Arabidopsis thaliana: one gene and its partner. Changing the gene in region 1 together with any one later gene gives a genetic interaction. Each region holds a gene or a part of one and is shown in the gene's direction. Other genes may lie near its edges. The genes, in order: MOS14 and SNC1.

Evidence for each region.
Region 2: of MOS14 (region 1) and SNC1, changing one suppresses a phenotype caused by changing the other (phenotypic suppression), as found in Arabidopsis thaliana (one study listed by BioGRID).

Annotation. Positions count from the first base shown.
Region 1 is NC_003076.8:25,126,400-25,140,763, reverse strand, and holds the start of MOS14 (ARM repeat superfamily protein), read left to right. Parts: upstream 1-8,047; 5' UTR 8,048-8,290; coding exon 8,291-8,413; intron 8,414-8,983; coding exon 8,984-9,061; intron 9,062-9,152; coding exon 9,153-9,215; intron 9,216-9,441; coding exon 9,442-9,489; intron 9,490-9,576; coding exon 9,577-9,723; intron 9,724-10,202; coding exon 10,203-10,334; intron 10,335-10,724; coding exon 10,725-10,765; intron 10,766-11,047; coding exon 11,048-11,139; intron 11,140-11,619; coding exon 11,620-11,747; intron 11,748-12,086; coding exon 12,087-12,162; intron 12,163-12,303; coding exon 12,304-12,424; intron 12,425-12,497; coding exon 12,498-12,597; intron 12,598-12,879; coding exon 12,880-12,961; intron 12,962-13,392; coding exon 13,393-13,475; intron 13,476-13,682; coding exon 13,683-13,799; intron 13,800-14,019; coding exon 14,020-14,071; intron 14,072-14,221; coding exon 14,222-14,364. Other genes in the region: AT5G62623 (Putative membrane lipoprotein), read right to left, coding at 1-37; AT5G62620 (Galactosyltransferase family protein), read right to left, coding at 1,000-1,212, 1,305-1,412, 1,509-1,682, 1,776-1,904, 2,012-2,302, 2,405-2,649, 2,743-3,628; AT5G62610 (basic helix-loop-helix (bHLH) DNA-binding superfamily protein), read left to right, coding at 6,164-6,463, 6,779-6,985, 7,068-7,133, 7,215-7,283, 7,355-7,432, 7,522-7,647. UniProt on the Arabidopsis thaliana protein: Functions as a nuclear import receptor for serine-arginine rich (SR) proteins. Regulates nuclear import of SR proteins that are required for proper splicing of the two resistance (R) genes SNC1 and RPS4, a crucial step for their functions in plant immunity.
Region 2 is NC_003075.7:9,494,027-9,511,432, reverse strand, and holds SNC1 (TIR-NBS-LRR class disease resistance protein), read left to right. Parts: upstream 1-5,602; 5' UTR 5,603-5,950; coding exon 5,951-6,441; exon of another isoform or gene 6,442-6,492; coding exon of another isoform or gene 6,493-6,518; coding exon 6,519-7,596; intron 7,597-7,781; coding exon 7,782-8,069; intron 8,070-8,166; coding exon 8,167-8,646; intron 8,647-8,859; coding exon 8,860-10,620; intron 10,621-10,711; coding exon 10,712-10,927; 3' UTR 10,928-11,162; downstream 11,163-17,406. Other genes in the region: AT4G16880 (Leucine-rich repeat (LRR) family protein), read left to right, coding at 14,284-14,325, 14,464-14,883; RPP4 (Disease resistance protein (TIR-NBS-LRR class) family), read left to right, coding at 15,733-16,202. UniProt on the Arabidopsis thaliana protein: Disease resistance protein of the TIR-NB-LRR-type. Part of the RPP5 locus that contains a cluster of several paralogous disease resistance (R) genes.

The DNA of each region.
Region 1 (14,364 bases):
CAAGAAGAACCACTTTCCTCAACACCATTTTCTCCATTTTGATGATACCGGTTCCAAATTTCTTTTACAGTTATTGAATCCAATTATGCAAAAATAAACACACCCAAACATACTTACATATATATATATATATATATCATTTTATATATGTGTATTTTGTTGCCAAGAATAGGAAACTATGTAAGATGAGGTTATTTTTTGCCAAAAACAAATATTTCAGACAAATATTATGATAAAAAATCAAACAAAAATAATTGTAGTAGATAACTATGAAAATAGCATAATTAAAATAAAAATGACTTCTCACAAAGTATTTTGGAATATTTTACTCCTTATTTAACTGTTATGAGACATGTTTGATTATTTTCTTCTATATGGACTTCTAATTTATAAAAAAAAATGCATTAAAAAAGGTTGTAAGTGAAAAGTTTTAAATTAGTCTTGGCAATTTTGGGTCAAGTCGAGAACACAATGTATGTGTTATTATATCTCTACCAATTCGCTGGTAGTGGAATTCACACTACCCACAAAAATGCCATACATCTATAGTCTGATCATTTATAGACCTTCTTAAAATTGGGCTTATATATATGGTGAAAAAGGTGCCGCAATATTAAACCGGTTCTAAAAATTTTATTAATTTTAAAAGATATGAGTGTTTTAATTATTGTTAAACATTTTTACACATTATTCTTATGATTCATTTTAACAAGAAATATTAATTCTTATTGAAGCTACGGCTTAGGAAGACCAAAACTCGTCGTTGGACAAAACTACGGTTTAGCAAAGGCTTTCATGGGCACATAATAAGTTTAAAGGAAAGAATGAATATTAATAGAGAATTCGACCAAAAGAAAACATCCATTTTAGATTCGTTACTAAAGATCAAAGATGATATAATACAACCGAAACTATATGCTATAAACTACTACCCAAAAAAAAAGAACTCTTCGGACTTCTATTTCCTTTTATAAACCAAAGAAAAGGATTTGGTATGTGTCATCTCATGTTGCAGCACTGAGGTTTGCCTGTCAACACCAGCTTATCCCACAAGCAAATCATCTGTCTCGGCGACTGATAATGCGCCGTCAAGTAATTCTCTATGCAACCAAACTGACAAAACCTGAGGCTGTGAATGTAGTCCACCGGTTTTGTACCATTGTTGAATTGTTCTACCCACATTCCCACGCTTACATCTTCCATTTTGAACATCTGTAGTATCAAGAATGAGAAAGAAAGGAAAAGGGTTATATAGATATGCATGGTCGGTTTTAAATTGAGTAGGTAATGGGAAATTCTCATACCCTTAATTTGTGTTTCTCAAACTCTTTCACGATAAAGCGAGATATATCGTTTGATAATATGTATCCGGGGCCATTAGCATAAGGTGGATAGTCTTCCTCTGGCCATTCCTGGCAAAGCAGATAATGTAACATTAACTTTTGAATTCATATGAGAAAAGAACAGATACAAATGATTCTTTAGGCAAAAAGATCATAGCTTTTTACCTCATATGTAACAGACCATTTACCCTGGCGAAGTGGTTTGTGATAATAATTGATGTTGCCAATGTATAGACTTCTATCTGTGGGTGTTTTCTTTGCTTCACTAAGAACCGCATCCACTTGTACAAATGTATCGTCATCACACTTCATGATGAATTTAGCTGCAAGTTGATGAGCCTGCAAAACAGAGAATAGAGAAACTCTTTACCTTATATTGAATAATTGAAAACACAACATCAAGTGTTGAATCTTTGAATCAGCGGGACTCACCCCGTACTCGCAAATTGCAACGGTTTTGAGGACGACAAGGTCATAACTGTCCATGTAAGGGACTATAACTATGTCCCCAAAGAATTCAGCTTCCTTCTTTAGCTCCACATTTACTTCTTTCCTTGAGTGCTGCCCAAATAAACATCTGAGTTTAGCTTGCAATTCGATATGAGAAGCTCTTACATTTTAACCTAGAAGACCAAGATCAGATCACTTGTAAATTAGTCTAAACTTACCAGTGCAACAAAGAACCGAGCCACTACTTTGGAAGATTTAACGAGTTTATGTTGCATCCACGACCTCCTCACAGCCATCCTCTCAGCAAAATGGTTACCAGCAGAAAGGATACCAATGAACATATCAACTTGCTCATCAGGAAGTGATGGGGCTTGCCAATTGCTCGAGAGCTCAAGATGCCTCTGAGGAGAAAAACTAGGATGCGAGGTTGGGAGAGAGCCAGCGAAAACAGAGTGAACATCTATGTCCCCGTTAATGGTTAGACCAGTAGCATCCTCAAGCGTAAATCCCTTCATATATTGCCAAGAAACCACGCACATAGACAACCATCAGTTCACACCAATCACTAATCAAACCACAACATGTTTAAGCCAGGGCAAAACATCACTTACAGTTCGGTATGGAAAGGAAGTGACATGCTTCCCATCGACACTAACATGGTAGCCTTCCAATCCAGCACTAAGAGTAAGCACGAAAAGCTTGTCAACTGTGAATGGAAATGGCCATTCAACAGTTACTTTCTTGCTCCGACCTATTAATCGACTAAGCCACCATGAAGCCGCCTTGCTAGACTCTTCTTCTTTAGATGTAATGCTATCATCCCGAGCCCATTTCTCGCACTTAACCTGACCATCAACTACAACCATTCTTACTAATTAGTATCCCCAACAAAAACACCAAGAAAAACAACAGATGAAAGATAAATGCTTTTGAACATATCTACACTAACCAGTCTCTTCATCATCCCTAGATCTCCATCCTTCACATCTTTGTGCTGAGCCCCATTGCATTCTATAGCAAGTGTTCTGCTCAATCACAGGCTTACCACTCCAATCACCCTTAAGCCTTGGATTCAAGTGGAGTATCCGAGGTGGCTCTTCTCCTTCCACTGCTTTCAAACCCTGAAGCTCCAACTTAAACTGTGAAACCTTCACAGCTTCATCTCCTTCCTTTAACATCGATATCTTAGGGTCCTTCTCCGAATGAGCAGCTCGTGGCTTCCCAACCACTGTAATATGTGACCCAAGAGTTAAACCACATGGAAGCTCCATGATATTCCCACGTTTCAAAAGATCAGACCCGGTTAAGGAAACAGAGAGAGAACACGAGTTTGTCCCATGTTCCTCAATCTTCTTCTTCTTCTCCTTCTCCAAAGCTTTCAACGTTTTCCCAGACTCAAGCTCTTCCCATATCTTTCGACCAACTTCCCAAGCTACCTTAGCAGATTTATGAAGCTCCACAGACCCATCTTTGCTACTCGGGTTAAACGTTTCCGGGTCGAATCTCAAACTAGAAAGGATCCGAGTCCTTCTTCTTAAACCCTGAGCCGGTGATTCCGATTGTGATTCCTGGTAAAGCAGACTCTTTAAAGGTCGAGTCGGAGCTCGTCTCTCTTGTAACTCTCTCTGACTATTGTGCTTCTCGGGTCGGGTTAACGGATCCTGAGATAAAGAACTAAGCCCGGTTTTGAAGACGAAAGGGATTTCGAATGTGATAAGAAGCATGTAGAGTAACCCAACCGCCATTAGTATCTGAACCGATCTCTGCTTGCTTAGAGAAACGAAAATGTCGAATTTCTCTAACCTCTCGAGTTTTGACAACTTGGGCTTCCTCATTCCTAAATTATACGAAGAAAAATCCAAACTTTTTTTTAACTGGAAACAGAAAACCCTAGTGATGATGATCAAAGAGGAACAGAATCTCAAAATTCAAAATTTCAAAAAACAAATAAAAATCAAATCTTGAGAGATTACGATGAACGGAGACAATCAGTAGATTGGTGGGTTACTATAAATTCTGAAAAACCCTTTGAACACGAAGAGAGAAAATTCAAGAACTTTCTATGGAAAAGACAAATCTTTAGTGAGAAAATTCAAAACCCGAAAGAAACGTAAAGTCGAAAATTTAAATCTTTAGAGAGACGTGTAAAATCGTAAGATGAACAGAAACGCGTCAGGAGAATTTGGAGAAGGAAGCAGCAAGGGGAAGAGTTAAAGCTCTCTCCTCTTTCTTAGTTAGTGCTGCTGACGTCTGAATAAACCGCCGTTTTGGTCCATCTCTCTCTCTCTCTTTTTCGAATCTTTTCTTCGCTTTTAAATCTTCTCTTTTTCCTTATTTTATTTAGTTTTCGATTAAAGTTATAGATTCGTTGGATTTATCTTTTCAAATTAAAGTAATTTTATTATTCTAGATGATTATTTCCACCACCAGTAGAATAAAAAGGAAAAACGTTATGTTTTTGTCGAATTTTAATCTTATAATTGAAGTAATAAGATTTTTAAGGTTAAGCAAATCGACCAAAAAAACAAATCGAAAAGGTTGTCTTGATTACACGAGACAGAATGTGAAATTATTAGTTAATTAGTACTATATGATTTATAAATTAAAAAAAAACAATAATAGTAGATGGAATCATATGTATTTGATTGTTTAGTAGATATGATTCTTATTTTGAAATTTAAACTATTATTGATTAATGTCTACTTAGTCGGTGCTAAATCGGCCAACTGTGTCATTCCATCACCAATGAAGTCACATAGTACTCCTATGCTCATGTTTTTATTTTTGACTTTTCTCTCTATTAATTTTCTTAATTTCATGACCAAACTGAAATGAACAGAAGAAATTGATAACAAAAAAATAGTGTTTCTTGTTTTTTTATTAGAGGTATCTTGATGAGTAGAGCAAAAAAGCTTTATGGGAAAAATGGAAAGAGAGGAATTGGGCTTCATGTGTGACACCTTTGCATCCAGGTGTCTTCTCTTTCTACACTTGTCTTTTCCACCTTTTCATTATTTCATCAAAATATAAACATATTCCACTTAATTCGATAATAAAATTAATAATTAAAAAAGTTTTGCAGAAAAACATCAATTTCTAATTTGTTGGTCTTTAAACAATTTTCTTGCTACACATTTAGAGCATTCAATGCTATAGAATTGACTTTTAAAAGTTTTAACTCAGTGAATAGTTTTAGAGCTTTTTTGTTTGTTATATACTGTATTCTTAAAAACGTTTGATATCTCTGTATTCATCATTCAAAAATACAAACTTTTATAATAAACACAACAAATGAAGGTTGAAATCATCGAAACGAAAAATGACACTCTTGGCTCCTTGTATTTTTCCGCAACTACCTTGAACATGTCATCTACCAAAAAGGCTAAAACTACATTGAACATAATAAAACTATAGCTTCTGAATTTTTAAAAATTTAACGTGAAGAACGTTGACATGCAAACAAAAAGACTAAAACACATGTCATCTATCCTTCATATTAGCGTTTTATATATTTAGCTAGAATTTTGGCTTTTGTGATTAAGCATTTAAAATTTAAATATATGGCCCATTGTCACATCCTCGATCGTATCCTACGTACCGGTGTGTGGTTCCCTTCACTTTACACAACTAACTTTCATAAAACATATGACTATGAAGTGGGAGATCTATGTTAAATAAAAAAACACTAATTGGTGAATATTATTGTAAACATAGGCGATCGAGTACTTACTAGGATGGACATATGGTACGAAGATCAAATTTTTAATCCAAACATATACGTTTTTTCCTTAAACACGTCAGAATGAAATTACCAAAGTAACATGATTTGGTTTTGCTAGTATGTATTTTTTTCTAAGAGAGATGCATTGTCCTTTGGTGTATTTAAGTTGTTCACAGTAAAATTACCAAAGTTGTTCACAGTAAAAAATAATTTAATCAAAGGATAACTAAAAGACATAATTGTGAGATTTTTATTTTTTATTTTTGATAGAAATTATTTAGGTTATTGCGCCATAATATATCTTTTCTATTCAATTTTGTTTCTAAACGAAACGAAAATTTTACCATTGTAATATTTTTTTTATAACAGAAACGGCAAAATATTTGATGTAAGCTGTGTAATTAATGAGATTTTCTGAAAGTATTGGTGATAAATCATCTTCCATTGCATACTAGTGGCGCATTATCACTACCCACATCTGTCTTACCTTCTCCGATCTCTCTCTCTATTTGTCCACCTCACACACAACCCTATAAACAAGACAAGACCTCGCAAAGCTCAAACCTTTTCCTTCTTTTTTTCTATCAAGTTCCTCACTTCTCGGATCCGGGTCCTAAATCTGGGTCAACCCTTTTTACGATCATCGGAAATGGACCCTCCACTAGTGAACGATTCCTCCTTCTCTGCAGCTAATCCTTCTTCTTACACTCTCTCCGAGATTTGGCCTTTCCCTGTAAACGACGCCGTTCGCTCTGGTCTCCGTTTAGCTGTTAACTCCGGTCGAGTCTTTACTCGCTCTGAACATTCCGGCAATAAAGACGTCTCCGCGGCTGAGGAATCTACAGTCACCGATCTAACTGCTGGCTGGGGAAGTAGAAAGACTAGAGATTTGAACTCTGAGGATGATTCTTCAAAGATGGTTTCTTCCAGCAGCAGTGGTAATGAATTGGTGAGATTTTGCACTTCAATTTTTGAAAAGTCCTGATTTTTATTTGTTGGGTCTTTTGAATGTTTGAATCTAGATCCTTTAGCTTGGTGGTGATCTAAAAATCAATGAGTCAAAGTTTAAGTCTTTGGTTTAGGGATCAAGGATTAGTTTATAGATTAGATGACTTATCTCCATTGACTTTTTGACTTAAGTTGGATTCAGCTTGAAGACCATTAGTTTGATAGATGTTGGAATGGTCAATGCTTACTTAGTGATCTTAGATTGAGAGTTTGATTTAGGATCTTAAAGCTTTCCATCTGTTTACTTTTTTAATAGAAAGAATCAGGGGATAAGAAAAGAAAACTGTGTGGATCTGAAAGTGGAAATGGAGATGGTTCGATGAGACCTGAAGGCGAAACAAGTTCGGGTGGTGGTGGAAGCAAAGCAACGGAACAGAAGAACAAACCTGAGCCACCAAAGGATTATATTCATGTGAGAGCAAGAAGAGGACAAGCTACTGACCGGCATAGTTTAGCAGAGCGAGTAATTCTTCTGCTAAAATCACCATAAATTTTATCCTCAAAAACTGTTCCTTTTATTAGAATCACAATGTTGTCTTTGACAGGCTAGAAGAGAAAAGATCAGTGAGAAGATGACAGCTCTTCAAGATATAATTCCAGGATGTAATAAGGTACATGTTCTTTTGGTCCCTGCTTGTGAATGATGTTATTATAGCCTAAAAAACATTCAACAAGATATTTCTGTTGATCAGATAATCGGAAAAGCCCTTGTGCTCGATGAGATTATCAATTATATTCAGTCATTGCAGCGGCAAGTTGAGGTAAAAGTCGTTAACACCTCTCTGTTATATGTTACAATTATACATGCCTAAGCATGGAGTTTGGTCTGCAGTTTCTATCAATGAAGCTAGAAGTTGTTAACTCGGGTGCAAGTACTGGTCCGACAATAGGAGTTTTTCCTTCCGGTGATGTAAGTCCCAAATCTAAAAGAACATAGAAAAATCTTATCTTTCTTAATCAAAGCTACTAAATCTAAAAGCTCTTGGTGTGTTGTATCAGCTCGGGACTTTACCGATTGACGTTCATCGAACAATATACGAGCAACAAGAAGCTAATGAAACCCGAGTATCTCAACCGGAGTGGCTCCATATGCAGGTTGATGGGAACTTTAACCGAACCACATAAAAAAGAGTCTTTCTCTGATTGATGGATGTGTTTTGTAGGCAGTAAAAATGAATGCAACCCTTTATTTTTTATCCTATGCGTGTGTATCATTTTGCTGTTATATCATAAGATAGAATATGAGAGTGACCAGAGAGATTAACACTTTATAAAACATTGTTGTATTGTCCTATTATATAACTTGTAACAATTGATTCAGTAACATATGTTGGTCTTAAATCTTGTCCTTTGTATAATCTTTATGTTATGATGAATCAATGATACGTTTTTTTTGTTGTCTTCAATTTATTGCAACAACTGAAAAAAAGTAAACAACTTCTGTCTTCAAAATAAAAGAAGAAGGATTTGACTTTAAGTCAAAGTAATTGTATCTAACGGCTGAGATTCTCTCTTCTTCATCCTCTTTCAGATCAAAATTCGATCTCTATCTCTCTTCCTCACTCAAGTTGAGGGGCGCCAAAAAAAAACCTTTTTGACAAAGAGGGAAAAAAAAAGTTTTTATTTTTATTGTTTTTGTTGGGCGAAATCGATTTGACAAAATCCCGAATTTCAGTTGGGCAAATTCTTCTATTTCTCAATCTGGGTCTTTCTCTCTGGTCGTGATTTGGTGACCGTACGAGCGAATAACGCGTAAAGATTCATAGCTATGGAGCATCAGAACGCGGTCAAAGAAGCCCTAAACGCACTGTATCATCACCCGGATGATACAGTGCGTGTGCACGCTGATCGCTGGCTTCAGAACTTCCAAGGAACTCTCGATGCTTGGCAGGCGAGTTTTTTCTTTTCGATTTCAATTATTTAATCTCGATTTGTTTAGGTTCGATTTGTTCTTCCTTGTTTTGTAGCACTTGTGCTAGAGTTTAATGTTCGATTTTCAGCTACTGTAGACCATATAGGTGCATAAAGTTTCATCCTTTAGTCAATTTGTATTAGTGATTTGCTCTTTAAGGTCATATAGGCTTATGCATAGCAGAAATCTCAAAATTTCAGTACGTCTAAGTTCATTTCTGAGTTACTTTAGACTATATAAGTGCATAAATTTTCATCCTTTAGTCAATTTGTATTAGCGATTCGCTTGTTAAGGTCATATAGGCTTATGCATAGCAGAAATCTCGAATTTTCAGTACATCTAAGTTCAATTGTGCACTTTTTCCTGTAGCTGGTTTGAGAAGTATGTGTAAGGTGTGTGAATAGATTTACCTTGTTAGAGAAACGATTAGCTAGGTTTTATATGAGCTCTTTTCTTTTAGACCCATGATTGTTGTTGCGGAGAAGAGGATTTTTTTTGATGGAGAAGTTCTACAATATTTCTTACTCTGTGCTGTTGTATGTTTTCTAGGTTGCGGATAATTTACTTCATGATTCTTCTAGCAATTTGGAAACTTTGATATTCTGTTCTCAGACCCTTCGAAGCAAGGTAAATGCACCTGAATGTTTCTGTAAATCCTTATTCATTTATCACACAATCTTGGAGCATTCTGGTGACATCTAGTCTGTCTCACTCGAAGGTTCAACGAGATTTTGAAGAACTACCACCTGGGGCTTTTCAGAAGCTACGGCAATCATTAACGGTAATTCTTTGTTCTATTAACTATTTCTTCCAAAGTTGTAGGGTTTCATGAGTTATTCATTAGTATGTCTGTTCCTTTGAGCAATAACATAATAGGAAAACTCAGTTGAACTAGAGTATTCTGGGATCTAGGTTTTACTATGATTTCATCTTTCTGGCCTATTATTCTTGGTATTGGACAATTACTTCCCGGAAAATTTTGACTTTCATTATTTTCTCAAATGCAGACATTGTTAAAAAAGTTCCACAAGGGCCCTCCAAAAGTTAGGACCCAGGTAAGTGCATATGTGGAATTTTCTGTTGTGCGTATAAAGTCATGTACTTTGTGTCGAGTTATCTTATTTAAGTATTTTATATTGTAGATTAGCATTGCTGTTGCTGCCTTGGCGGTGCATGTTCCTGCGGCAGACTGGGGAGATGGTGGTATAATTAGCTGGCTTAGGGATGAGATGCATATGCATCCTGAATATGTGCCTGGTTTCTTGGAACTCTTGACAGTTTTGCCCGAGGTAGAGTATTTTTTATTCCTTTGTTTAAGTGTTCATCTCACTCAGTAATTAATTTGACTTCATGTATCCGGCTATATAGATATGAAAGGCCTTATTTTGGTCTGACTTGGATCTTCTTACTTATTATTTATGCTGGTATTACTGACCTCAAATTGGGTAGACCTATTTGGAGAATATTCTGTTCCTTTTTTACTTTTTCCATATCTATGTTTAGGTAGCATTCGACGTTACTCTGTGAGTGTTATTTCAATCCCTAAAGTATTGGCTGGGCAAGACCTTGATATTTTGTATGGTATTGTTTGCAAAAAATGTTGGTAGTTTATTTGTAACTAAATGAAGATTCTAATTTTTTCACAAATCTCTACCACATCGTTTGACCTTTCCCTTTCATTAACTTGATTCACTTTAGGAATGTTTAGCTTTAATCTAGATGGTTATATGATGTCTTGATCTTATATTGTCCTTCTTGCTATGACCAGGAAACATTTAACTACAAAATAGCTGCTCGTCCGGATCGACGACGTCAATTCGAAAAAGAGCTTACTTCTCAAATGGAAGCTGCACTTAGTATCTTATCAGCATGTTTGAAAATATCCGAACTTAAGGAACAGGTCAGAGCTTATCTTTAATATAGAGTCGTGACATAGTTCAGTACATAGTTTGTTATTCACTTTCCATGATCCCTCTGTATAACACATCAAAATAACCTTCTTCTTTTTATGTTTTCTGATGCATGTCTGTTTTTTTACTTTCCACTAGTTTTTACTTTCTTTACCAGTCAGAGTCTATGTTTGCCTTGTCAAAACATATTTGCTAGTTTTAGGTAAAAGCTTGATTACATCTTAGGTTTTCACTCACCTGCCAAAATTTAATATGTCTTCTTGCATTATTGTTAGCTTCTGAAAAATGTCCCATGTTCCTGTGTGTTGGACCAGCTAGTGTTTTTGGTGTTGCAAGAAGTCACTTATTGTCAATTGTGTTCTGTAATTTTGATTTTTCAGGTTCTCGAGGCATTTGCTTCTTGGCTCCGTCTTAGGCATGGGTATGCTCTTTTCTTTTGCTTTTCTATCTCCAGTTTTATTTAGAACAAAAGCTCGTCTAGATTACAAATATTCATTGCGAGTTCGTCAGGTTGTAAATTGTTTTAATATATGGGTCATAGATTTTGTCCTATATAGAATCATCTTAGACACAAAGCTAAGTTTATCTGATTTGTTGCTGTTGGTTTCTACTTGCTATCCTTCTTTATTTTCACCAATTCAACTTAGCAACGATGATACTGACTGAACTGTATACTGGTGAACTTTGGGGTGGTCTTTTTCAGGATTCCTGGAACAGTGCTTGCCTGTCATCCATTGGTGCATGCAGCTCTCTCAAGTTTGAACTGTGATCCACTATCAGAGGCATCTGTTAATGGTATACTAGTTGGAAAAGCTAATATATACATAGGCCTTTAGAGTCTTGGGATACTTCACATTGATATATTTTTCCCCGTAAATTGAAATATCTTTACTGAATAGAGACTATTTATGGATGAGTTATTTTGTGATATCTTCTGGTATTGGAACACTATGGGAGCTGCGAAATTTCTAGCATACCTGTTATCTCTTAGTTGGAATATGCGAAGTTCGAGAATTTGCAAATTGAGCTTCTAGAAATTGGTTATTAAGCTTTTCTTGTTGAATTTTGGAAATTAGTGTTTGATGTGTGTTGGGTGTATACTGCATTGCCTTAAGATGGTTTTTTCACCTTCATTATAATGAGCAGGAATTTTTTTGTTCTTTATCAAATAGAAAATAGCCTTCTATTAGTTTTCAACCTACAAGCCAATGTTTCCTTCAATTTAGAATTCATTATTAGAGTTTTAATAGAGAAACTTCATTTTCAACTTCGCAGTTATCTCTGAATTGATACATCACACAGCATCACCAAGTTCTGGTGGTATTTCTGCACAAACACCCTTGATTCAAGTTATTGTGCCTCAGATTTTAAGTCTTCAGGCCCATCTAAGAGATTCTTCAAAGGTACTGTTTACCTTTGGTATTGATACAAGTTGATGGCTGAATCTGCTTGATATTAAGCTTCATTATTTCACAAATTTTCTGTTTCACTGGTCTCTGGCTTGAACGGCTATGATTCTGTTGCTCGTGGACTCTATTAAGGGAAAAGGTTATCAGATGCATCAAATAGTAGGAAACTAATGGCCTATCCTTGTTTAATTTAATTAAACTGTAGTGCTAAAAGGGTTATATTCTGTTTATATGACTTGATATGTGGCTAAAGATATCCCTCATAATGTGTTGTAATTTTTGGCATATGTTTGTATTTCTTTCTTTTGATTCTTAGAATTATTTCTCTTTCAGGATGAAGAAGATGTCAAAGCTATTGGTCGATTATTCGCTGACGTAGGCGATTCATATGTTGAACTAATAGCTACTGGTATACGGCCTCATTTCTGCTACTCTGTCTTGTTATTTTAAGTGTTCTGGTTCATGTGTCTTGATTGCTTTTGGCCTCTGGTGCGCAAAATGCTTTAGTTGGTAATCTAATATGTTTGAAGGTACTATTTCTGGCCTCTAGGTTCAGATGAACCAATGGTTATTGTGCATGCCCTGCTGGAAGTTACTGCACACCCAGAATTTGATATAGCCTCGATGACCTTCAACTTTTGGCACAGTCTTCAACTTATGTTGACAAAGAGGTAACTTCAGCCTTTTCTATGTTTTTGGGTGTTCCTAGGGTCATATTCTGAGAGTGTGATTTTTAATCTTCAGGGAATCTTATAGTTCATTGGGTAGTGAAGCATCCATTGAAGTTGAGAGAAACCGAAGACTGCATATCTTTCAGCCAGCTTATCAGAGCCTTGTATCTTTGGTGAGTGAGTCATCAGATACCACTCTAATGTTTTACTCTTTCAAGAATATTTGAAGCTCGTTGTTGAACCCAGGCCGTTTCTATTGGTTTGCTCTAATCCAGAGAGACAAAATTGAATTCTCATGCTCGGGTGACTTATGCTTAAATTAATATTGCTCTTTGAAAAAATTCTTGATTTCTAAAGTTTATTTGGTCGATCATCTTTTGGTGGAAACAGAAAATCATATGGGTTATTGTATGCTCTGCAGTTTATGTCACCTATACACTGGTTTCCCTTCACAGGTTGGCTTCAGAGTTCAGTATCCTGAAGATTATCAAGGCCTCTCATATGAGGACCTTAAGGAATTCAAGCAGACTAGATATGGTAATCAAAGCGGTGTATTACTTGTTCTCAATATTACATTAGATCAAGATCTTTTGAGTTAAGTGTGCTAAGGAATAAGTGTACCCCTCAGAGCTTCCCAAATAGATCAGCGCGACCTTAGATTTTCGTAATTTGTTTGCTTAGCACTGTTGTTCTCCCTATGTTTCAATCCTTTACACTTGTTTCTTGACGCAGATAAAGTATTGTTCTTCTGAGGTTTTTGGTTGTTTTAGTCACTTAGCTTTGGTATGGTGCTGTATCTCGTAACGTCACTTTTTGATTTACCTATTCTTCATACTTTTGTTGATATGTACTTCTTATTGTGCTCTCAATCATCTTTGATGGGACCAATTACCTCATTTTCTTGTTTACTTCTCTGGAATGTTGCTCTGTCTATCTAATTTCACTGATGAAGTTTGTGACATTTTCAGCTGTTGCAGATGTATTAATAGATGCAGCGTTAATCCTGGGAGGGGATACTACTCTTAAGATTCTCTATATGAAGCTTCTTGAGGTTTGTGCTTTGGATCTCCATGCATATATCTGTTCTATCATTAAATACAAAATAAGCATTGGGAGATATTGAATCAGCATTTTTATATACTGAAAAAGTTAAATACGATCAGGGTAGAACACAATTAGGATTATCAGCACCAAACAGTTACATTTTATTTACCTTTTGGATTTCAGCATCTTTGACATTTGTGAAATATGTACTTAGGCCAATGCCCAGACAGGAAACAATTTTCAAGATTGGCGTCCAGCAGAAGCTATTTTGTTCTGTATATGGGCAATATCAAATTATGTTTCGGTTGTTGAAGCTGAAGTGATGCCCCAGGTTTGTATTATACATAGTTCCTCCAAGCTACTGCTGCCAAATTTTTTTATTTTTTTTTTCTCACTGCCTATGAATTATGGGTTTCCATATTGTTTTTGTGTGATGAAAGGCTTGTAGGTCCGTGTCTTATAAAGTCTTGAGTGTTTAAAGTTTGAATGGCTTTAGATTCCGTTCTATCTCTCATGCGTGGAATTTTCATTCTCTTAAATTCTGCTTTCAGGTGATGGCGTTGCTTCAAAATCTTCCTCAGCAAGCGCAACTACTTCAGACAGGTGAATAGCTTTTCTTTCTAAGTTTTATATGTAGAAGGTGAATAGCTACTTGGTGGAAACCACTAGTGTATGCGCAACAGAAACCTTCCAAGTTATGCGAAAGAAGCTTTTTCTTTAATGCAAGATATCTGCTTCCCTATTTGATTTCAGCATGCTTACTTGTTGGGGCATATTCAAAATGGCTTAATGCTGCACCAGCCAGTGTTTCAATATTACCATCAATCATTAGAATTCTTATGAGTGGAATGGGCACATCTGAAGATTGCGCAGCAGCTGCAGCTTTGGCTTTTAGA
Region 2 (17,406 bases), on another chromosome or scaffold:
ATTTGTATGGTGCCAAGGTTCAAATCTTTACTGACCACAAGAGCCTAAAATACATATTCACCCAGCCGGAGTTAAATCTAAGGCAAAGAAGGTGGATAAAACTTGTGGCGGATTACGACTTGAACATAGCGTACCATCCGGGCAAGGCCAACCAAGTTGTAGATGCTTTGAGCAGGCTGCGCACGGTAGTGGAAGCGGAAAGGAACCAAGTGAATTTGGTTAACATGATGGGGACATTGCATTTGAATGCTTTGTCTAAGGAAGTTGAACCCTTAGGGTTGAGAGCCGCCAATCAAGCCGACCTACTTAGTAGGATCCGGTCGGCTCAAGAACGAGATGAAGAAATAAAAGGGTGGGCACAAAACAATAAAACCGAGTACCAAAGCTCGAACAATGGTACTATCGTGGTGAACGGTCGAGTATGTGGGCCGAACGATAAGGCGTTGAAGGAGGAAATCCTAAAAGAAGCGCATCAATCGAAGTTCTCGATCCATCCTGGGTCGAACAAGATGTATCGCGACCTTAAAAGATACTACCATTGGGTAGGAATGAAGAAAGATGTGGCCAGGTGGGTAGCCAAGGAAGAGCATCAAGTACCAAGTGGAATGTTACAAAACCTACCTATACCGGAATGGAAGTGGGACCATATAATGATGGACTTCGTCACGGGACTGCCGACGGGGATCAAGTCCAAACACAATGCGGTATGGGTTGTAGTAGACCGATTGACTAAGTCTGCGCACTTCATGGCAATCTCGGATAAGGATGCAGCCGAAATCATTGCCGAGAAGTACATAGACGAGATCGTGCGATTACATGGGATTCCGGTTAGTATAGTGTCGGACCGAGACACAAGGTTCACGTCAAAATTTTGGAAGCCTTTTCAAAAGGTCTTAGGGACTCGAGTGAATCTAAGTACTGCATATCACCCACAGACGGACGGACAGTCCGAACGAACGATTCAAACCCTCGAGGACATGTTGAGGGCATGCGTCTTGGATTGGGGAGGAAACTGGGAGAAATATCTAAGGTTAGTAGAATTTGCGTACAATAACAGTTTTCAAGCTAGTATTGGTATGTCTCCCTATGAGGCGTTGTATGGCCGAGCTGGTAGAACACCGTTGTGTTGGACGCCAGTGGGCGAACGTCGGTTGTTCGGACCTGCGGTCGTGGATGAAACCACGAAGAAAATGAAGTTCTTAAAAATCAAGTTAAAGGAAGCCCAAGATCGTCAGAAAAGTTACGCCAACAAGCGTCGAAAGGAATTAGAATTCCAAGTGGGAGACTTGGTGTATTTAAAGGCGATGACCTACAAAGGGGCAGGGCGATTCACATCAAGGAAAAAGTTAAGGCCAAGGTACGTTGGCCCGTACAAAGTGATCGAACGAGTAGGGGCGGTGGCATACAAACTTGACCTTCCTCCAAAACTAGACGCGTTTCACAATGTCTTTCATGTATCACAACTACGGAAGTGCTTAAGTGAACAAGAAGAAAGCATGGAAGATGTACCTCCTGGGTTAAAGGAGAACATGACGGTGGAAGCATGGCCGGTACGGATCATGGACCAAATGAAGAAAGGGACTCGGGGGAAATCAATGGATTTGTTAAAAATCTTGTGGAATTGTGGAGGCCGTGAAGAATACACTTGGGAAACCGAGACTAAGATGAAGGCCAATTTTCCGGAGTGGTTCAAGGAGATGGGTAAAGATCAACTTGGATTCGATTTGTCGAATCCAATTCAAAGGGGAGACTTGTAACGCCCGCGATCCTCAATAGGATCGTTGGCTGGGACTTGGTCCGAGAAAAGAAGGTGGAGTCTCGGACAAGTGGGAAGGAGTTGGCCATAAGCTCGGACAAAGGGAAATCATGCGGGCTAAGCTAGGATCGTAAAGGAATCAGCTGGGTCAGCTCGTCCGAAGCTCAAGCTCAGCTGGAAGGAGTGACGGTTACTCGGGTTGAGTGACAGTCCAGCTCGAGCAGCTGGGCGAGTGACGGTTGAGCTCGAGGCAGCTGGTCGACTGTCTGACCAGCTGGGCGGTTACCCGGACGGTTACTTGGGCGGTTACGGTCGAACGGGTGCTCGCCCAAAGGGTGGATAAGGGCGAGCAGTTACGGACCGAGAGATGCAACTCTTCGGAAAGGTGCAAGGAACGGAGGTGATCCTTCGGGAAGCATCAATTCGCTCCTTATATAAGGGAGGGCGCCCAAGACCTTTAGAGGCAGCAGAACACACGGAAAATACCGGAAACTCACCATTAAACTCTCTCCCTTTCGGGAGAATAAATCATCGGAGGAAATCGGTAGGCGGACTGTGGCCGGCAAGGAAGAAGAAGGGTCGGATCGACCGAACATCGTGAAGGAAGGTAAGGAATCCTAGACCTCGAGTCTAAGGATTCTAGAATGCGTTAAATGAGTCGGGATTCCTTGAAAGGAACGACTAATGGGCTGGGTAGAATCGGGTCATGTGCAACCTACACAAGCCTCGGTCCGGGCAAGGGATCGGCTGGGGCGGAGACGCGGCTCGGCGGAGGACCGGCGGGTCTTAATTGACCTACCGAGAATCGGCCGGACTTATGCGCGATCTTCCCTTCTCCGAATCCTCTCCGCGGATCCGAGTAGTGTAAGGACTATGGAGCATTGCATGGACTTGCATATGACTAAGTAAATGAAATTACTTATGGCTCTATGACTTTCAGGAACCAATGGTGATAGTGGGAAGGACTTGGCTTAGGCGCGAGAGACTCAAGGCCGGAATGATGGGTGGTGATAGTTTCGGATAGTCTAGGGATCGATTAAATTACTTGTAATAGCTTATATGCAAACTCATAAGTTGTATCGAATCCTTTACTTAATTAATAAAGTATCCGATTGTTTGTTTACTCTATTCGTCTCATATATTGAATCACAGAATTGTATGAAACGGATTACACTAGGGAATGAACCTCATAAATGGTTAGGGTCGAGTCACTTAGTGACTTGGGTCGAGTCACTTAGTGACTTGGGTCGAGAGATCTCGTCCGGACTTAGGTAGTCCGGATCGGGGCCTTTCATTATCTCTTCCAGAACTGCTGCAAATTGGATGGAGATGCGCGAGAACTCATCTTACGGTCATTGTTCAAGCCTATGTCCTTACCAGGTGGAGAAGTGCCAACGTATTTTCAACATCGAGCTTATGGAGATTCCCTAACTGTCACTTTACCTTAGAGCTCTCTTTCTCAAGTATTCTTGCTTTAAGGCTTGCATCGTGGTTGACCTTCTAACTGAGGGCAAGAGTTGGGGTCCATATTGTGAGGTAAATGCTGGCTTCAATGGGACACTGTATTGCAAATCATTTTTTAAAGATGCAGACCTGCGGTTGTGTAAGACGGATCATCTGGTTTTCTGTTCCTTCAACTTCCAGCCTGAAGATCTTCCATCTAAATTGACTTTCAACGATGTGGAGTTTAACTTTTCTTGCTCCAAGAGGATAAAAGAATGTGGTATACGACTCTTGAATGTGTCTCCATTTCCAGATGATAGTGATGGAAGCTCTGAAACAGAGTACAGCCAACAGTCTCGAGAAAAATGTGATGTTGTAGAGACTGCGAGAAGCAATAAGCGGATGCGGGTAAGCCTTTTGACATAATTAGAACTGAAAATTGCAAAGCTATCTCTTGATGTTTTATTATATTTTCCAGGATCAATACCTTAGTGACAGACTATTTAACAGAATCGATCCTTTGGTTTACGATGCAGATGACATCGGGAACATCTGAAGAATATATCAACTTACCCTGTGTCCAAATTGTAGCGGACACAAGCTTGACCGCTCTAAATATGGAGCTTTCGTTAGGGCAGGGAGAAGCATCATCAGTTTCTTCTTATCCATCTCTGGAGGGGGAATCTTTGTGTGTTGATTCCATGATAAGTGAACAACAAGATGAAGAAATTCCTATCTTGAATTCTGGTTCTGGTAACTGAAGCATCTTATTATTCGGTTTTCCTCTGTTTTAGGATAACTTGGGACCGAGCATGACTATAATGATAATGGCAAGACGATTTCATATGTTTTGACACAAGCCATTTTTCCTGCAGATATATCACTTCCCTTGATACTAGTTAAATCCATATGAAAATATCTTGTTCCCTGAGCTACTCATTAACACATCTAGGATGGGATGGAAAAGCTAATTCTCTAGGGCTGTTCTCGGCTGAATGGTCTTTGGACCAAGGACCTAAAAAAAGACGTGTGTTCTGCGGGAGTTACTTTGTTATACCTCATAATGGGAAGGAAAGCTCTCACTGGTGACCCTGAACAGTTAAGATCTGACTTGACTGAATACACCATCACTCGGTTCCACTTTTTTCTTCTTTCTTGCCGTCTTACAACGACCTTGTCATTCCCAGGAACATAAAGGACATTGCGCAACTACGAGGCAGTGAAGAATTATGGGAAGTAGCCAAGCTGCACAACCGTGAATCCTCTTTACATGAGGTAAAATCTCATCTTTCATCCCTTGTAAACTCTCCATTCATTTGATTACTGCATTGGTGTGAACATAACATACATGTTCTGTTCTTCTTTGCCGCCAGCATTTGGATTCAAATATCACAAAAGGGTTTTCATTGTTAGCATTTTGTGTTCCAAAACATTATATATCTTAAAAATGTAAATTACCGACAAAATTATTAGATAGATGATCGTGAGAGATGAGTTCAGGTTGATTTTTGTGTTGTTGTTTCAGGAATTGTACAAGTCAAGGTACTTGAAAGGGATGGAGTTGAGAAAATGGTACGAACTCAACCCAAAACGCATGGAGTTTCTAGATGCAATTCCATGGTCGCTCCTTGACCTCGTTGATAGATGTTTGACCGTTAACCCGAGACGGCGAATCAGTGCAGAGGATGCTCTCAAGCACGACTTCTTCCATCCAGTACATGAAACCTACCCTTAGAAACCAAATGCTCCTTAAACGGCAGCAAATGCAATCGCAGCCTACAGTGGTTGCTGACACAGTAAGCCAAAACTCTAAACTAATATTACAATTGTAAATGTAAACAAGAAAACTTTACATGAAAATATTCTCTCCACTGTCCACACCACACAGCTCTAGAAAACTAGATAGTTTGTTGTTAGTGTTTTCACTGTATTATTAGTTGAATTATAATCCTCATAATCGATATACTAATTATTCTCCTAATTTCCATGCATGTATGTACAGTATGAATAGGAAAACCAGACTTTTGATATTAGTGAACCTTAACATTGTTAAAATAAATTGAAATCTTGTTTCTGTCTTGAACCACTGACAGCCACAAAATTTTGGGTCTTCAAAAATATCTGTGGAGAGGAAAAGTAGCTCTCGAGGAAGTTTCTGTCTATTTTGCCTAGAAATTATCTTGAAATCTTGTAGAATGGCTACGTCTCATCATCATAGATAAATTCAGTGACGACTGATAGCCACAAAATTGACTTATCGTTATAGAGTAGAAGCTTTCCAAGGAAAGGAAGGGGAAGTTTCTGTATCACATAATTATGGCCTTATCTTGTTAGGGATTTGATTTTTCAACCACTAAAAAAATATCTTGTACAGTAAGTCTTCTATGCAAGTCTTCTAAGAAAGGAAGACCAAGTTTACGTATTATTTGTCCCAATTGTCTTGTAATGGGATTTGATTTTAACCACTAAAACAATATCTTGTATAGTAAGTCTTCTATACAAGTCTTCGAGGAAAGGAAGACCAAGTTTCTCCTCTCTGTTACTGTGTTGTATTATTGATATACTTCAAAGAGTTTTCCTTTGAGAAATTTCGTCTCTTCTCTCTCATCCTCTGCCATGGCGTCTTCTTGCTTCAGATAGATATACAATGTTCTCAGATGGATATACAATGTTTTCGCGAGCTTCAGTGGAGAAAATTTCGGCAAATTGTTTCGTGGCCATCTTGTCAAGGAGCTCGAGCTCGACCGTGAAATGATGGATACATCCAAAGATGATGATATGGAGATAGCTTCTTCTTCTGGCAGCCGGAGATACGACGTTTTCCCAAGCTTTCGTGGAGAAGATGTCCGTGACTCATTCCTCAGCCATCTTCTCAAGGAGCTCAGGGGCAAAGCAATCACATTCATAGATGATGAGATCGAGAGGAGCCGCTCAATCGGCCCGGAGCTTTTATCGGCAATAAAAGAATCGAGAATAGCAATCGTTATCTTCTCTAAGAACTATGCTTCATCCACCTGGTGCCTGAATGAATTGGTGGAGATTCACAAGTGTTATACGAATTTGAATCAAATGGTGATTCCGATTTTCTTCCACGTTGATGCTTCGGAAGTTAAAAAACAGACCGGCGAATTTGGAAAGGTCTTTGAAGAGACATGCAAGGCTAAATCAGAGGATGAGAAACAAAGTTGGAAGCAAGCTCTAGCAGCTGTTGCAGTTATGGCCGGATATGATCTTCGGAAATGGTATTTCAATGAATAGACTTCGTGATTTTTTTGTTTTGCGTTGCTTCTTTAATGAAACAGTTGACTATTGTTATTAGGCCTAGTGAAGCAGCCATGATTGAAGAGCTTGCCGAGGATGTTTTGAGAAAAACTATGACACCATCGGATGATTTTGGCGACTTAGTCGGAATTGAAAATCATATAGAGGCAATAAAATCAGTATTGTGCTTGGAATCCAAGGAAGCTAGAATAATGGTCGGGATTTGGGGACAATCAGGGATTGGTAAGAGTACCATAGGAAGAGCTCTTTACAGTAAACTCTCTATCCAGTTCCACCATCGCGCTTTCATAACATATAAAAGCACCAGCGGTAGTGACGTCTCTGGCATGAAGTTGAGGTGGGAAAAAGAACTTCTCTCGGAAATCTTAGGTCAAAAGGACATAAAGATAGAGCATTTTGGTGTGGTGGAGCAAAGGTTAAAGCAACAGAAAGTTCTTATCCTTCTTGATGATGTGGATAGTCTAGAGTTTCTTAAGACCTTGGTGGGAAAAGCTGAATGGTTTGGATCTGGAAGCAGAATAATTGTGATCACTCAAGATAGGCAACTTCTCAAGGCTCATGAGATTGACCTTATATATGAGGTGGAGTTCCCATCTGAACATCTTGCTCTTACGATGTTATGCCGATCTGCTTTTGGGAAAGACTCTCCACCTGATGATTTTAAGGAACTAGCATTTGAAGTTGCGAAGCTTGCCGGTAATCTTCCGTTGGGTCTTAGTGTCCTTGGTTCGTCTTTAAAGGGAAGGACCAAAGAATGGTGGATGGAGATGATGCCTAGGCTCCGAAATGGTTTGAACGGAGATATTATGAAAACATTAAGAGTCAGCTACGATAGATTACATCAAAAAGATCAAGATATGTTCCTTTACATCGCGTGTTTATTCAATGGTTTTGAAGTCAGTTACGTCAAAGATTTACTTAAAGATAATGTTGGGTTTACAATGTTGACTGAGAAGTCCCTCATACGTATTACACCGGATGGATATATAGAGATGCACAATTTGCTAGAGAAATTGGGTAGAGAAATTGATCGTGCAAAGTCCAAGGGTAATCCTGGAAAACGTCGATTTCTGACGAATTTTGAAGATATTCATGAAGTAGTGACCGAGAAAACTGTAAGTTTTTTTCGCAGCTCCGTTTGAATGCATGACTTTATATTAATATAATCGTAATTTGGGGATTGATAAACTTAAGCAATTGTTGCCTCATGCGTAATTAAAATGTAGCTTTGATGTGTCAGAAAATTAAAAAGGGTTGCGATTGTTAAGATTATATTAGTTTTCTTCGGATTTTTTTTCAGGGGACAGAAACTCTTCTTGGAATACGTTTGCCATTCGAGGAATATTTTTCGACAAGGCCGTTATTAATAGATAAAGAATCGTTCAAAGGCATGCGTAATCTGCAATATCTAGAAATTGGTTATTACGGGGATCTACCTCAGAGCCTCGTTTATTTGCCCCTTAAACTCAGATTGCTAGACTGGGATGATTGTCCATTGAAGTCTTTGCCATCTACTTTTAAGGCGGAATATCTAGTTAACCTCATAATGAAGTATAGTAAGCTTGAGAAACTGTGGGAAGGAACTCTGGTACGAATTCTAAATTTTATTAGTTGTCAGTTTTTAGAACAGAACTGTGGTATATTTGTGAACGTGTGTATTCTCTTTTTCCATATTTTGTTTTCAGCCCCTTGGAAGTCTCAAGGAGATGAATTTGAGGTATTCCAACAATTTGAAAGAAATTCCAGATCTTTCTTTAGCCATAAACCTCGAGGAATTAGATCTTGTTGGATGCAAATCTTTGGTGACACTTCCTTCCTCGATTCAGAATGCCACTAAACTGATCTATTTAGATATGAGTGATTGCAAAAAGCTAGAGAGTTTTCCAACCGATCTCAACTTGGAATCTCTCGAGTACCTCAATCTCACTGGATGCCCGAATTTGAGAAACTTTCCAGCAATCAAAATGGGATGTTCAGACGTTGACTTTCCGGAAGGGAGAAATGAGATCGTGGTAGAAGATTGTTTCTGGAACAAGAATCTCCCTGCTGGACTAGATTATCTCGACTGCCTTACGAGATGTATGCCTTGTGAATTTCGCCCAGAACAACTCGCTTTTCTCAATGTGAGGGGCTACAAGCATGAGAAGCTATGGGAAGGCATCCAGGTACATTGTTAATGCTATGCTGATTTTTGTTTACCTTCTGTTATATAACTAATTAACTATACCCAAATTTGTTATTATGGCTTGTGATCCACGGTTATGTCTTACCACGGTTATGTCTTATAATAATGTTTAATTATAATTTTAAACATATACAGTATAAAATTAAAATGATTATCATCGATAATGATTGAAGCATACCAATGTTTTTTTCAGTCGCTTGGAAGTCTCGAAGGGATGGATCTGTCAGAATCTGAAAACCTGACAGAAATTCCAGATCTTTCAAAGGCCACCAAGCTCGAGTCTTTGATACTCAACAACTGCAAAAGTTTGGTGACACTTCCTTCTACAATTGGGAATCTTCATAGATTGGTGAGGTTGGAAATGAAAGAATGCACAGGGCTGGAGGTTCTTCCGACCGATGTCAACTTGTCATCTCTCGAAACCCTCGATCTCAGTGGTTGCTCAAGTTTGAGAAGTTTTCCTCTGATTTCAACTAATATTGTATGGCTCTATCTGGAAAACACCGCCATTGAAGAAATTCCTTCTACAATTGGGAATCTTCATAGATTGGTGAGGTTAGAAATGAAAAAATGCACAGGGCTGGAGGTTCTTCCGACCGATGTCAACTTGTCATCTCTCGAAACCCTCGATCTCAGTGGTTGCTCAAGTTTGAGAAGTTTTCCTCTGATTTCAGAGAGTATCAAATGGCTCTATCTGGAAAACACCGCCATTGAAGAAATTCCAGATCTTTCAAAGGCCACTAATCTGAAGAATTTGAAACTCAACAATTGCAAAAGTTTGGTGACACTTCCTACTACTATAGGAAATCTCCAAAAATTGGTGAGCTTTGAAATGAAAGAATGCACAGGGCTGGAGGTTCTTCCGATCGATGTCAACTTGTCATCTCTTATGATCCTCGATCTCAGTGGTTGCTCAAGTCTGAGAACTTTTCCTCTGATTTCAACTAATATTGTATGGCTCTATCTGGAAAACACCGCCATTGAAGAAATCCCTTCTACAATTGGGAATCTTCATAGATTGGTGAAGTTAGAAATGAAAGAATGCACAGGGCTGGAGGTTCTTCCGACCGATGTCAACTTGTCATCTCTTATGATCCTCGATCTCAGTGGTTGCTCAAGTCTGAGAACTTTTCCTCTGATTTCAACTAGAATCGAATGTCTCTATCTGCAAAACACCGCCATTGAAGAAGTTCCCTGCTGCATTGAGGATTTCACGAGGCTCACTGTACTTATGATGTATTGTTGCCAGAGGTTGAAAACCATCTCCCCAAACATTTTCAGACTTACAAGACTTGAGCTCGCCGACTTTACAGACTGTAGAGGTGTCATCAAGGCGTTGAGTGATGCAACTGTGGTAGCGACAATGGAAGACCACGTTTCTTGTGTACCATTATCTGAAAACATTGAATATATCTGGGATAAGTTGTATCGTGTTGCATACCTCCAGGAACATTTTAGCTTCCGTAATTGCTTCAAATTGGATAGAGATGCGCGAGAGCTCATCCTACGATCATGCTTCAAGCCTGTGGCCTTACCAGGTGAAGAAATCCCTAAGTATTTCACGTATCGAGCTTATGGAGATTCCCTAACTGTCATTGTACCTCAGAGCTCTCTTTCTCAAAATTTCTTGCGATTTAAGGCTTGCGTCGTGGTTGAACCTCTCTCCAAGGGCAAGGGTTTTTATCCATTCTTGAAGGTAAACGTTGGCTTCAATGGCAAACAGTATCAGAAATCATTTTCTAAAGATGCAGAACTGGAGCTTTGTAAGACGGATCATCTGTTTTTCTGTTCCTTCAAGTTCCGGTCTGAAGATCTTCCATCTAAATTGAATTTCAACGATGTGGAGTTTAAGTTTTGTTGCTCCAATAGGATCAAAGAATGCGGTGTACGACTCATGTATGTCTCTCAAGAAGAGAACAACCAACAGACTACGAGAAGCGAGAAGCGGATGCGGGTATCTTTTGACTTTTGATTTGATTTTCCAGGATCGAAATACCATAGGGACAGACTATTTAATAGAATCTATCGTTTGATTTATAATGCAGATGACATCGGGGACATCTGAAGAAGATATCAACTTACCCTATGGCCTAATTGTAGCGGACACAGGATTGGCCGCTCTAAATATGGAGCTTTCGTTAGGGCAGGGAGAACCATCATCATCAACATCTCTAGAGGGGGAAGCTTTGTGTGTTGATTACATGATAACTGAAGAACAAGATAAAGGAATTCCTATCTTGTTTCCTGTTTCTGGTAACTGAAACATCTTATCATTCTGTTTTGCTCTGTTTTAGGATAACTTGGGATCGACTATGACTATAATGATAATGATAATGATAATTAATTACATTATCCAACTCTGCGTTTGTTTTGAACATTTCGCTTTTCCTGAAAGAATAAATGTTTCAGAAAGCCACACTTTAGCATATTCTGGAAAAACATCTTTCGCATGGTTTTGTATTGTACCATACATCTATCTATTTCCACATTGAATTTGGGAGCGTACCTACTTGAACTCAGGTACTACCCAAAATAGTCTTGCCTTTTTTAAAACATAGATGTCAAGGTTTATGTTAGTAAAGGTTGTTTTTCTCTTTATTAGCAATGAATAAATCAGACTTTGGGTACAGAAAACAACAAGAATCAGCAACATTTGCATATCCGCTGATTCAATAGCCAAAAGGCAGAAGCGTTTTTGGCCTAACTTCGGCCAAAGATGTAACCAGCATAAGGAACAATCCTTCGGGTGAAGGAAAGAGCTTTTAAACTTTCTACAGGAGACATTGTCTGGTCCACTTCCAAACCATGAAGTATCATCCAGCTATCCTACGTCGATGAGAATACATGTCGCTGCTGTTCCCCCATGCCGCTGCACTCTTTAATTGTATCGTAAAGAGTTAAAGTTGTAGGCCTGAACTACTCACTAGAACATCTAGGATGGAAAGCTAATTCTCTGGGGCTGTTCTTGACTGAATTGATTTGCTTCAGATCTTTGCATCAAGGGCCTAACATAGACGTGTGGTCTGATGGGGACGACACCTTTCACTGCTGACCCTGAACAGTTAAAGATCTGCCTTGACTGAACTCACATTGTTAACATTCCTTTCCTGGATCCTTAGCCGTCTCCACAGCTTATCACATTGTTAAGGCAACCTGAAACGTATTACAACTCTGTTTTGTAATGAACGTGGGATCGACCATGACTATACTGGTAATGACAAGACTATTTCTTAGTTTTTCACACAAGCCATTTTCTCCTGCAGATGATGGAGTACTGACAACTAGAAAAATTTTATGGTTCCATGTCCAGAACAGCAGAACCACTCTGTTCTTACTTCTCTCTGTTTTGCTTCTTTGAAAAATTCGCTTTCCTGAAAAGATGTAAATTTAACAGTCTTGTTGTTGAGTTTTGCCTTAAGTGTTAAGATACTCTACAGGGAAGAGAAGCTTCCAAAGACTCTAGTCTACAAAGAAGGTTTCACCTAAGGGAAGTTGAGAACACACTAGAAACAGCTGTTGTGTTTCTCATAAATAGACAAGGGACAGAAGAGTAATTAACTTCTGCTTCAGTCATAAGCTTTGTTTGTCTTCTTCCCCTGTACGGGAAAACAGAGCATGCGAGGGTGAAGAAAAAGAGGAGAACCCTGCATATAAAAGAGGAGGCAAGCTGAACCCTAAAAGACAACAAGAAGAGAGCTAGATGGGGGTTTAGGTGAGGCGGCTGGGAGTGTCCAGTTCGCCTCTAGGGTTTATGTAACCGAAACCAAGCTTTCTAGTGGATTTCCGAGTACAATCTCGGCGAGATGTAGCGTTTCCGGTTTGGAAACGTGAACTCGTTAAATGGTGTGTGTGTGCTCTTTCTATTTCTTCTTCATTCGTTTTTCTAAGTCAACACACGAGAGATCCAAATTTCTTTGAGTGATAGTGAGAGATTCCGCAAGAAACAAGTTAAAGGTTCAAACTTTCTCCACACTTGTCTTTTGAAACACACATATCTCTCTACGTGTATGTTACCAAAGGTTATTTTTCTCTCTTTAAATCAATGAATAAATTTGGTAAAGAAAAATGTATTTCACAAGAGAATTATCAACAGCAAAAAAGTGTTGGAACTAAATTTTTAAATAGCAACCTCATCAGCAACAATTGCATCACTGCTACCGTGGCGTTTCCTACACTCACAGTAAAAAAACAGTGATTAAAACATAACGCACCACCACCACAGCCCCATACATACAAACCAGCTTCCACCCGTCCCACTCACCGACCTCCACCACGACCCTGAGCTCAAGTGAGCTAGTCATTGTCACATTTAGGATGTGAAAGCTAATTTCTCTGGTGCTTCTTTTAGCTGAATTGGTTTGTGCAGGTTTGCTTCAGATATTGCACCAATGACCTAATAATAATAATAAAAACATAATACACCATCAGTCGATTCCACTCTTTTTTCTTTCTTGCCGTCTTACAACGACCTTGTGATTCCTAGGAACGTGAAGGACATTGAGTAACTACGAAGCAGTGAAGACTTATGGGAAGTAGCCAAGCTGCACAATAGTGAAACCTCTTTGCCTGAGGTAAAATCTCATCTTACCTCCCTTATAAACTCTCCATTCACTTGATTGCTGAATTTGTGTGACATAATACAAATGCTCTGTTCTTCTTTGCCGCCAGCATATGGATTCAAATAAAATGGTTTTCATTGTTAGTCCAGAACATGATATAACTTTAAAATGTAAATTACTGATAAAGTGATTTGATAGATGATCGTGAGAGATGAATTGAATGCACATAGATTTTTGTGTTGTTGTTTCAAGAATTGTACGTTGAAGGGGCTGGAGTTGAGAAAATGGTGTGAACTCAACACAAACGCAGAGAGTTTCTAGACGCAATCCCACGGCCGCTCCTTGACTTCGTGGATAGATGTTTGACCGTTAACCCGAGGCAACGAACCAGCGCAGAGGATGTTCTCAGACACGAGTTCTTCCATCCAGTACATGAAACCCTTAGAAACCAAATGCTCCTTAAACAATACAGCAAATGCAATCGCAGCCTACAGTGGTTGCTGACGCAGTAAGCCAAACTTTAAACTAATAATACAATTATTGAAAACTAAAAGAGTAATTTAGCAAACTAGAGAGTTAGTGTTAATTAGTATTTTCACTGTATTATTTGAATTAAAATCCTCATAATCGATATACTTATTCTCCTAATCCATGTGCATGTATGTATTGGGAAACAAGACTTTGATATTAAACAATCATAAGTACATTCTTACGATAAACTGTCTTGTACAAGGACAACTGACAACCACAAAATTTGTGTGTTTCAAAATATCTGTGTAGAGGAAACGAATAACGTAAGTTTCTGTCTAATTGCCTAGAACTTGAAATATTATTTCTGTCTTGTACAAAGACTTATCATAATTCAGTGACAACCACAAAAATTCAATCTTCAAAAATATCTCTTGAATGTGTCTCCATCTCAGGATTATAGTGATGGAAGCTCAAGTTTGAGATTTTTCCCTCAGATTTCAAGTAACATCATATGCCTATGGTGGCGTTATTGTCCATTGAAGCGTTTGCCTTCTAATTTTAAGGCTGAGTATCTGGTTGAACTCATAATGGAGGATAGTGACCTTGAGAAGCTGTGGAATGGAACTCAGGTACTAATTTTTTATTGTTTTTGTTGTCAATTTGAAAACAGAAATGTGTTATGTTTATTGATTTATTTGTTCAAAAAATTAAATGAATTTTTTGAAATGTTTACGAACGTCTGTTATTCTCTCTTTCCTTGTTTTCAGTTACTTGGAAGCCTAAAGAAGATGATTCTGCGTAATTCCAAATATTTGAAAGAAATTCCAGATCTTTCTTTAGCCACAAACCTCGAGAGACTAGATCTTTGTAAATGCGAAGTGCTAGAAAGTTTTCCAACTCCTCTCAACTCGGAATCTCTTGAGTACCTCAATCTCCTACGATGCCCCAAGTTGAGAAATTTCCCTGAGATTATTATGCACAGTTTCAGAGGAGAAATTGACATCGAGGTAGCAGATTGTTTATGGAACAAGAATCTCCCTGGACTCGGTTATCTTGATTGCCTTAGGAGATGTAATCCAAGTAAATTTCGCCCAGAACATCTCAAAGACCTCACAGTGAGATGTAACAACAAGCTTGAGAAGCTATGGGAAGGCGTCCAGGTAATTCATACGTATATTATATATTGATCAAGATTCAATAAGAGATTCATCCGTACAAATAAGGAGAAAGGCCTAGTATTGGGTATGTGCTACAAGGAGTTGGGCCGAACACATGAGAAGTCTATGGAGAGCTTCTAGAAAGAGTGAAGGCGCACAAATATCTCTTGTAGCCGTTGAAGAGGACTCACGAGTGTCTTTAGCGACATGGTCAACCAAGGACCAGTCGCTCTCACCATCAAGACCAAGGAACCTCTTCTCTCATGTCTCTTTCAGTCTTACGTTAATTGTAAACGGTCATATTCCCTTTGTGTGTCTTTAAATACATTGTAAACACACAAAGGTTACTAACTAATTCTATCAATATGATTTGGTCATTCTCACTCATATACCAACTCTCTTGTTCTTCATAATTCTCTTACTCTTTGCTACAATTCCGCATATTCTTTCATTATATACAAGGACAACTGATAACCACAAAATTTGTGTTTTCAAAATATCTTTGTAGAGGAAACGAATGTAAGTTTCTGTCTACTTGCCTAGAAATTGAAATATTATTTCTGTCTTGTACAAAGACTAAGACTTATCATAATTCAGTGACAACCACAAAAATTCAATCTTCAAAAATATCTTTGTATGTAGTGTAAAAAAGCTTTCGAGGAAAGGAAGGGCCGAGTTTCTTTATTATTTACGTCTCAATTGTCTTGTTAGGAGATTTGATTTTAGCCACTTAAAAGAATATCTTGTACAGTAAGTCTTCTATGCAAGTCTTGGAGGGAAGGAAGACGAAGTTTCTCCTCTCTTTCTCACACTATGTCTTGCTGATTTACTTCTCTTAAAAATCTTCGTCTCTTCTCTGAGTTCCCTCTATCGTCTCCCATGGCTTCTTCTTCTTCTTCTCCTAGTAGCCGGAGATACGACGTTTTCCCAAGCTTCAGTGGGGTAGATGTTCGCAAAACGTTCCTCAGCCATCTAATCGAGGCGCTCGACCGCAGATCAATCAATACATTCATGGATCACGGCATCGTGAGAAGCTGCATAATCGCCGATGCGCTTATAACGGCCATTAGAGAAGCGAGGATCTCAATAGTCATCTTCTCTGAGAACTATGCTTCTTCAACGTGGTGCTTGAATGAATTGGTGGAGATCCACAAGTGTTACAAGAAAGGGGAACAAATGGTGATTCCGGTTTTCTACGGCGTTGATCCTTCTCATGTTAGAAAACAGATCGGTGGCTTTGGCGATGTCTTTAAAAAGACATGCGAGGACAAACCAGAGGATCAGAAACAAAGATGGGTTAAAGCTCTCACAGATATATCAAATTTAGCCGGGGAGGATCTTCGGAACGGGTATGTTTTATTTATTCCACTATTTCTATGAGTGTTTATAATTATTGCAAAACTAGAAAATGTGCGTGGGTTTAAAATTAATATAAAATATGAAATAATTTTAAAATTTACATAATGAAATATTTTTAGCTATTTAAAAACAAATTTTTTATTGTGTATATCATATTACATAAATTAGTTGTTTATAAAGCTTTCAAAAAATATTTGGAATTACTCTCAGTTAAAGAGAGCAAATTAATTTTGTTTTGAATAAAAATTTCAATTTCATTATGGAATATAATTATATTAGCATCTACAATATGGGTAGCTTGAAATAAGTGTTATATGTTTTGTTGATTTTGAACTCATTAAATTTGTTTTTCTTTTGTTATAATTTATATGAATTCATGTGGTGTAAAATAATTTATTAATAAATATATAATTAAAGTTTCAATTAGCATGTCAATATGACATATTACATTTTTACTTTCACAATAAATAATATCTACTCAAGATTTGGTTTTTTAATCGACAAAATTGATATATTGGTAAGTCCTGATTTTCAAAATCAACTGACGACCTTTATGTTATTGAAAAAACTAAAATGATCTCCTAACTTCTAAATTACACACTTTCATTGTTTCACATCATCATCATCATCTATTGTTTGAGAGAAATGCAAGATTTTATCAAGCTATTACACTTTCTTTACAAACAAACCAATGCCCTTTTTAAGAGACTCAACAAATTCGTCCTAGGTATAATAAACCGTATTTCAAGCACACCACTCGACATTGATCTAATGCGCTATTGTATAAAAAGTTATTTTTTTAAACATCATTATCCTTTTTATAAATCTTGCTTTACTGAAATTAACAGTTTACCCAAAATATATAAAACATTTTGTCTCATATTTCGTAAGACACATTTTATTTTGTCTTGATATAATATATAATTAAACCTAAATTTCAAATATAATTAAGGATATAGATAAAAGGTCGCACATGATGGCTTCTCAAATACTCTCATATAAAAAATCTTAAAATTTAAGAAAAGATAAACTTGAAAAATAAAAATCCTAAATCATTTCAATATGTCACTCATATAAAAGAATTTAATTTTGTTTTGCTTCATTATATATAATAGAGTCTTTTATTATGAATTATTTGGTCCTAAATATAACTTTTAATGTGTATTATAGGCATAGATTTTTGTTATTTGTATT